2 linked regions of the Oryctolagus cuniculus genome follow. The protein of the gene in region 1 interacts with the protein of each later gene in a biochemical or structural test. Links are inferred from orthologs where the notes say so. Each region holds a gene or a part of one and is shown on either strand. Other genes may lie near its edges.

Region 1 (3,794 bases):
TCCCCAACAGAGGGCCAGGCAAGCAGGGACAGCTGCAGTCCAGCCAGGCAGCAGCCAGCTGCTGCTGGGAGACTGGCCAGGCCGGGAGTGCGGGGGGTGGGCACGGCCCCCACCACCAGCGCGTGGGAGCGAGCCGGCAGGGCTGGGGCAGGGTTTCAGGTTGTCCTGTTTTTGCTGATCAGCTTGGTTAATGCTGAACAGGTGGTGGGGGGGGGAAAGCCAGCAGCTCCCTTGGGGACAGACAAGTTGCACGTATGCATGCACACATATGTGGGCAGGGCATAGGATGGGCGGGGCCAAGGCCAAGGCCCATATGGACTCCTGGAAACCCGAGGCCTGGCACTCAGCCCCTTGGGTCTGTGTCACTCAGGAGTGCCTCCATCCTGCACCCCCTCCCTCCATGCCCCTCGGGGAAAGACACCAGGCATACACAGGTTTATTTCAAAAAACAATAATTTATAAAAAGGCCATTTGTGTCTGTGCTTTCGGCTCCCAGCCTCCCAGGGGCACAGGGGTCAATGCTCCTTCCACCGAGAGCTGGGAAGATCGGGGTGGGGGCGCTTGGGGACATAGGGTTCCGATCTCCAAACCTCTGTTGCTGTTGGGAAGCAGGTTCAGAAGAGCAGTCTGGAGCCAGGCCCAGCCAAACCCCTAAGCAGGACGCCAACACTCAGGCTACTGGGACATTGGCAGCCGAACCCCAAGGGCAGGGCCTCATGCCCAGGGCTGAACTCTGGGCTGGGAACCCGGGGCCAGAGCGCGGGAAGCCTCAACTGGACCCATGGGCTAAAGACCGACCTCCCCAGAGTGGAGTCAGAGATCTGGAATGGCACCCCAAGGTCAGGGCCCCCGGATTGCCAAGGTCAAACAGTGCTTAGATTGTGGCTGAGCCAGGAGGCCCCTGCTCACGTCTGTACCCCAGGGAAGGGGAAGGGGCTGGGCCCCAATGGTAAGGGGTCGTGACTGAAGACAGAGTCATTGGAGGAACAGGTGCTGCTGGTGTCTCCTCCGGAGGGGGAGTAGGGTCCAAAGGTCAGGCGGAGGTCGAGGTACTGCGGGGAACAGAACACGTGAGCCTGCGCAAGCGCAGTGGGCAGCAGCAGGAGGCTCGGGGCGGGCAGGGGGCAGTACCTCCTCAGAGACCGCCAGCAGCACCTTGTCCAGCGCTTCTACCAGCTGCTTGAAGGTGGGTCTCTGGGAAGGCGCCGCGTGCCAGCACTCGCGCATCAGCCCGTACCTGGGGAGGTTAGGAGCAGCCTCAGGCCTGGGGGAGGGGCCTCGTGGCCCTGGGAGGGGGAGCGGTGGGTGGGGCCAGCCAGTGGAAGGGCGGGGACCCCGCCTAGGCCTCCCCTCTGGACCCAGGAGGAGGAGGGGGAAGGGAGGGGAAGAGAGGGAGGAGGCATTGCCCTCAGGACCAGCCAAGGTCAAGGCAGGGGCTGAGGACTGGAGGGTGGGGAGTGTGGGCCAGCCTCACAGCTCTGGGGGGCAGTGTGGGGGCCGGTCCATCCGATGGCCCTCCCGCAGCAGTGAGAACAGTTCCTCCACGGGGATGCCGGGGTACGGGGAGCCCCCAAGTGTGAAGATCTCCCAGAGCAGGATCCCAAATGACCACCTGGAGGCAGGACAGAGGATCAGCAGGGCACAGCTCCCCTGCCCACTGCAGGGGGCCCAGCGGGTGTGGGCTACACAGGGCTGGGGGTGATGACCCCTGGCAGGCACCCCGACCTCAGGTCGCAGGTCTTACACATCACTCTGGTGTGTGTACACTCGGTCAAACAAGGCCTCGGGGGCCATCCACTTGACAGGCAGGCGGCCCTGGAGGGAGAGGGGTGGCATTGGTGGAGTCCCGCCAGCCCCAGGCCTGGGCCCCCAGCCCCCAGCCCCCGCCGCCCTCACATTGCTGGTTTTCTTGTAGTAGTCAATGTGGTGGACGCCTCGGGCCAGCCCGAAGTCGGCGATTTTCATCACGTTGTCCTCGGTCACCAGCACGTTGCGGGCAGCCAGGTCCCGGTGGATGCACTGGGGGAAAGGCAGGCATGTGACACGGGGCTTGGGTTTACAGGAACACATGGCTGGGAGCTGGGCACATGCATCTTCCACCCATTTTACAGATGGGGAAGTTGTGACTGGGAAAGGGAGAGCTAAGCCGTCTGGCTTCAGGGCCTGGGTCTTCTCCCCAGCCCTGCCCCTGGGTCAGGATGAACCAAATGGGGACAGGAAGTGTCAGCTGCGCAGTGCCAAGGGCAGGGGTGTGAAGCTCTGGGGACATTTAGGCGGCAACGGGAAAGGGGAGATGAGGGGGGCAAGGGCAGAGGGGCCAGAGCATGGCCGCGGCCACACCTTCTGCGACTCCAGGTACTGCATGCCGCGCGCCACCTGGTAGGCACAGGAGACCAGGGCCGGGAAGGACAGTGGCCCCTCACTGCTCCTCGGTCCTTCGGGGCTGAGGTCGGGGCCCGGGGGCCGCCGGGCCCGCAGGAACTCCCGCAAGTTTCCCTTGGCCGCACATTCCACAATCACGTACAGGGGCCCTGGCGGGGAGGGGCACAGAGAGGCCACTGAGGTCACAGGCGGCTCTGCCGGCCAGCGCCTGCCCGTGCCCCGAGCCCCGCCCAGCCGCACCTTCCTGGGTGCAGACGCCTAGCAGGTTGATGATGTTCTTGTGCTGGCCTATCAGCTTCATCACCTCCATCTCAGACACCAGGTCGGCCAGGTCCTTGTCTGAGGCGTTGTCTGCAATGGGTGGGGAAGCTGCCATCTAGCTGCTCAGGGCGGGGCGGGGGAGGGGCAGCTCTGCGGCTGCATCCCCACCAGGCTGTGCGTAACCTCTCGGAACCTCAGGGTTCACTCGTGCGGAACCCAACAGTGGATCAGCCCTCCCTCTCAGGATGCAATGGCATTGAGGATCTGAAAGAGGGAGGCCTTCCAGAGAGAGACGGGAGACGGGAGACGGGGAGAGCTGGGACAGGAAGGAAGCTGCCTTGGGAAGGGTTGGCGCTGGTCCCTCAGCGGGGGTGGGAAGCAGGCTGGCGCCCTGAGGCCTCTGTCTGACCAGGGCCTGGCATCCATCCGGCCTGGGAATTCTGGGAGCTGCCAGCACAGCTCAGAGAGGGGAGCGGCTGGAGAGAAGGCTGAGGACCAGCGGCCGGGCTCCGGAACTGACCTGCGGCCCCGGGTCAGTGGCGCAGCGCCCCCGCCCCCGCCCCCGCCCCCACCCCCACGCACGCCACTATCACAAGGCTGTTTCCCAATCCCTGCCTCCCAGAAAGTGCCAGGTGGCCCCAGCTGCTCTGAGACAGGAGAAGGAGGGAGGAAGAGGGCCGGAGGGAGGAGGGCGGAGGGGGGAGAGGAGCGGCTTGGGCTCCTTGGGAGAGGGGGCTGGGGGAAGGCAGTAAAAGGCTCCAGTGGGCAGCTCCTAGGGTCTGGCACTGACTTTACGCAGAAGTGCTGCTCTTCCAGGGTGCTGGGCACAGAGGCCAGACCTGGGAAGGGCCCAGGGAAGGCTGCAGGTGTGTCTGGGGGACCATGGGGGATGCGAGGTTCAAGGAGACCTGTGGCCAAGGCTGACACTGGCAGAACTGATGGAGGATACAGAACTCAGTCACCCCAAATCCTCACCATCATCCTTGCCCCGACGGCTAGGATCTGATGGGCCCTGACCATGTGCCAGGCACTCGCCAAGAACCGTGGGCCGGGAGGTAGGGGCCCTATTATTCACCCCATGTGACGCAAGGGGAGACGGACTTGAAAGCGACCTGCCAGCGTCAGAGCAGACTTGGACTGCGGGCCAAGGG
Region 2 (4,358 bases), on another chromosome or scaffold:
TCTGGCCTGGGTTATACGGAGCGGGGGACTCGGTTCACCTGCCTGGAGGCCGGGAGAGTGGACACCGTGGGACGGTCAACTCCCATCTCTCACTCCTCTGGGCGCCCTGATCCCGGGGCACTCTCTCCCCCCCACCGACCCCAAGTACCTCGCCAGCAGGAGGGGAGGGGGCGGTGGGGCCAGGGGCCCCAGGCGCAGAGGTGGCCCGGGCTCTTCACAAAAGCCGGGGAGGGGAGGGGACAATTCGCTTGAACAGGAGCCGCCGCCGTGGATTGAAAACCACAGGGAGGAAGTAATTCGGTTTCATAGAAGCCGCGGCTTTCTGAACCCAGACACGCAGCGCGGGGGGTCCCCGGCCCACAGGTCTTTGTCAAGACCCAAGCCGGTGAGGGGTCTCCGCGCGCTCAGGCATCAGCGCGGGTCACCGGCTGCGAATGACCGCGGCCCCGCCGGCTGAAACCCACCAGGCCGCTCGCCCGTCCCCGAAGTGGCCTCCGGGGGGCCCGCGTCCACCAGCCCGGGGCGGGGGAAGGGGGGAGCGAGGGCGCGCCGAAGCCCCCCGCCGGCGCACGCTCCCGGCGCCGCGGTCTTTCTCTGCCGGAGCTGCCTGGCGGAGAATCTCCGCCCCTGGACCACCCAGACGGGGCCCTCCCCGACCACGCTGCCTGCGCCCCCCGCCCAAGGCGCCCGAGACGGAGGGGAGCGCAGGCCCAGGAGAGCCGGGGCTGCGGGGCGCGCGATCCCGGGCGCAGCGCCGCGCGGAGGCTCCTAGGGCGCAGGCGCCATCTAGCGCCCGCCGGGCCCCGGACTCGCCCATTGTCTCCCCGCGTCCGCGCCGCCGCCCGGGAGCGCGCCCGGCCCCCCGTCGGGGGGCGATTTACCCGGAGAAAGGGGGCCGGGGCGGGGAGCCGGAGAAGAGAAAGCCGGGGGGCTGGCGAGACGGCCGGAGCGGCGGGCGGAGGCCCCAGCGGACGTCGCCCGCCGCGGGAGGCGCGCAGGGCCGGGGCTGCAGGCGGAGGCGGGGCGGGGGGCGGCAGGGAGGGAGGGAGGTAGCGGGGTCTTTGCAGGAGAGGGGGCCCCGAGGCCGGGAGTCGCGGGATCCCTGCCACCACACACCCTGCGCGCCCGCGAGACGGGCTCCAGACGCCTGCTTGCTTTTAGAAAATTAAGCTCGCCAAGCCAGGCATCCCCGGGCCGCCGCGCCGAGCAGAGTGCCCCCCTGTCCCCCCGCCGCGGGACCCCTCCTCTTCTCCTCCCGCTCCCCGGCGAGCCGCACAGCCTGGGCGGGGTCACCGCCTCGGAGCCACCGCCCACCTGCCGGGGTCGGGGCGGGGGCTGGGGCCGTGGGCGGGGTGTGAGTGGGTGTGTTCGAGGGGCGGGGGCCTGCTGCCATCCCGATAAGAAATGCCTCGGTGCCGCGGGCACCTACCCGCCGGGCCAGGGAGGCGAGCTATATAAGGCCGCGCGCCCGGAGCCGCCGCGCCGTCGGAGCGGGAGTGCTGCGCGCCCAGGCGCCCGGAGCGCACGGCCGGCTCGAGGGCCGCAGCCATCCCGCCCTCGCACCCCAGCCTCCTGCATCCCCTCCGCAGCCGCGCCGCCAGCTCCCGGGAGGTGCCATGCGCCGCGCGCCGAGCGGAGGTGCCGCGGCCCGCGCCTTGGTCCTGGCCGGCCTCTGGCTGGCCGCGGCCGCGCGCCCCTTGGCCTTGTCCGACGCGGGCCCGCATCTGCACTACGGCTGGGGCGAGCCCGTCCGCCTGCGGCACCTGTACGCCACCAGCGCCCACGGCGTCTCGCACTGCTTCCTGCGTATACGCGCCGACGGCGCCGTGGACTGCGAGCGGAGCCAGAGCGCACACAGTGAGTGCCGGCAGGCCCCCTGCCCCCACCCCGCAGCCCCCCTCACGCCCGGGATCCCCATGCTTGGGCACCCGGGCTCTGGGACCCGTGCCCAGACCCCCATCCCCCCCAGGCAGCGCCCAGAGCGAAGGGGGGGGGGTTCCCGCGCGGGCACAGGCGGCACCCACGTGTTGTGGGCTCCCGCGGGTGCCAGCTGTGGCTTCTCGCTTTGCTTGCGCCCAGGCTTGCTGGAGATCCGAGCGGTCGCCCTGCGCACCGTGGCCTTCAAGGGCGTGCACAGCTCCCGCTACCTCTGCATGGGCGCCGACGGCAGGATGCGGGGGCAGGTAAGTGTCTGGCGTGCGGGGTGCGCCCCGCGCCAGCTCTCGGGATTTCTTGGCTCCCTCTGCGGCGACCCGCGTGGAGCCGCGGGGCGGGTGGCGCCGGTGTCCCGCGTTGCTCTGCGGTGTGAGCAGCCGCCTGTGTGTCTCCTTTGAGGCCGCGGCGGGCGCAGCTGGAGGGAGGAAGCCCATTGATATGAAACAGGAAAGCGCCCACCTTCAGCCGGGGCTTGCGCGTGTGTGGTCCTCAGCCTCCTCCCCCCGCTCCCCCCCCCCCCCGCCCTCAAGGGTAAGAGAAAAGAAAGAGAGAGGGGGAAAAGGGCACATCTACAAATTACGAATTTTTAAAATCTCCACCAACTCCGGGGTGTGTGGGAGGCAGTGCATTCGGCACTGGCCAGATGTGCTTCCAGTTTTCCACCCGAGAAGGCGGCCGTGCGGTTCAGATGCGGGCGAGCCAGCAGCGCATTCCCGCGGTGCCGCGGTCGGGGCGGGCGCACCTGTGCCGAGAAGGCGCTCGGCTGGGGGGGCTGGGGAGATCCAGGTAGCCGCCGAAAGCCGCGGCAGGCGCACACTTCCTGCCGGGGCTCTGGTCCCGGGAACAAAGGCTGCGAGTTCAAAGGAACGCGCCCCCAGGCCCCAGGCGCGCCTGGGGCTGTGTGAGGTCCCCGGGGGCCCCCAGGCCTCCCACACACAACACACAGAGCCCTGGGCCCCCGGGAGGAGCGGGGCCAGGGCACGAAGATGCAAATCTGGCCCGGGGCAGGCCTTTTGTGAGCCGAAAGGGAAGCATTAGCGAGTGTGACATTTATCTGTGCAAAAAGAGCGAGACGGAGGAGGAGGGGCGGGGCTGAAAGCCGACACCGGAGCCCCTGCCGGCCCCCTCCCCCGTGTCACTTTTGTTGTTTTGACGCTAATGGGTGAGGGGGGGCTCGGGGCGAGGAGAGGGGGAAAGGGGCTCTCCACCTAAAATCCCTTCCTGCCTGTTGAGCTCACTGGCGCGGCTGGGCACACACGGAGACTTAAAAGTCGCGCCGTCTCCTGGGAAGGTGAACCCCTTCCATTCTTTGCAAGGAGAAAGGATGTCGGTTTCTCCCCGCCCCGGACATCCGAAATATTTCCATTGTTCATCTGTTCATTCACTTTTTTTTTTTTTTTTGAAATGCAAGAGAACTCACTGCCGCTGCCAGGCAGCGCCGCGGCGGCTGCGGCTTTGTCCTCGTGCCCTGGTGGCCCGGCAGGAGCCGGTGCTCGGTGTCTTATCAGCCCATGGCTCACCACCTGCAGTTCAATGACCTCGGTGGATGGAGGCTGACTGGGCCAGGGCTGCAGCCACCGCCCAGCCCCCTCCCGGCCCCGCGCTGTCCTCTGGCCCCCACGCGGGATGCCACCTCCCGCATCTCGGCTCCGCCCAGGCTGCCTGCGTGCAGGGCCAGGGACAGATTCCCGCCCCCGCCTCCCTCCGGCACACATTTCCGGTCCTCCCGCTGGGTGCAGCCCCCTCCCTCGCCTGGGGGGAGGGGCTGCTCTTCCTGGCAGGCTGCCTGGGCCCTCTGGGGGGGGGGGGGGCCTGGGATGGCAGCGGGCCCGGAGGTTCCAGCAAGCTGATTCTTAGTGGAAGGCTCCCTCACAACCGGGCTTACCGGTGTTCTCCCCAATGCCAGTGGTGACAGAGGTGGGCTGAGTGCCTGTCCCGCCTGTCAGTGGTAGGGCTCAGGACACAGGTGGGGCTGACAGATGGGGAGAGGGAGGCCCTGGGGCAGCCGCAGCCCAGGCTCACTGGCCACCCCGCCCCGCGTCCCCCATGTCCCCGCAGCTGCAGTACTCGGAGGAGGACTGTGCCTTCCAGGAGGAGATCAGCTCCGGCTACAACGTGTACCGCTCCACGACGCACCACCTGCCCGTGTCTCTGAGCAGTGCCAAGCAGAGACACCTGTACAAGACCAGAGGCTTCCTGCCCCTCTCCCACTTCCTGCCCGTGCTGCCCATGGCCTCCGAGGAGACCGCGGCCCTTGGCGACCACCCTGAAGCCGACCTGTTCTCCCCGCCCCTGGAAACCGACAGCATGGACCCCTTCGGCATGGCCACCAAGCTCGGGCCGGTGAAGAGCCCCAGCTTTCAGAAGTAGACGGTGGGCGGAGCCCGAGCGCCTGCAAAGACAGCCCCGGGTCTGGTCCCGTC

What was found.
Region 2: the proteins of FGFR4 (region 1) and FGF19 form a complex in vitro, tested with the Homo sapiens proteins (2 studies listed by BioGRID and IntAct). The link is inferred for Oryctolagus cuniculus from reciprocal best matches to the Homo sapiens genes FGFR4 and FGF19.

The regions. Positions count from the first base shown.
Region 1 is NC_091437.1:63,119,057-63,122,850, reverse strand, and holds the end of FGFR4 (fibroblast growth factor receptor 4), read right to left. Parts: intron 2,734-3,794; coding exon 2,623-2,733; intron 2,532-2,622; coding exon 2,341-2,531; intron 2,020-2,340; coding exon 1,897-2,019; intron 1,816-1,896; coding exon 1,745-1,815; intron 1,613-1,744; coding exon 1,475-1,612; intron 1,238-1,474; coding exon 1,132-1,237; intron 1,053-1,131; coding exon 906-1,052; 3' UTR 436-905; downstream 1-435. UniProt on the Homo sapiens protein: Tyrosine-protein kinase that acts as a cell-surface receptor for fibroblast growth factors and plays a role in the regulation of cell proliferation, differentiation and migration, and in regulation of lipid metabolism, bile acid biosynthesis, glucose uptake, vitamin D metabolism and phosphate homeostasis.
Region 2 is NC_091432.1:3,209,590-3,213,947, forward strand, and holds the start of FGF19 (fibroblast growth factor 19), read left to right. Parts: upstream 1-1,497; 5' UTR 1,498-1,616; coding exon 1,617-1,857; intron 1,858-2,079; coding exon 2,080-2,183; intron 2,184-3,993; coding exon 3,994-4,305; 3' UTR 4,306-4,358. UniProt on the Homo sapiens protein: Involved in the suppression of bile acid biosynthesis through down-regulation of CYP7A1 expression, following positive regulation of the JNK and ERK1/2 cascades. Stimulates glucose uptake in adipocytes. Activity requires the presence of KLB and FGFR4.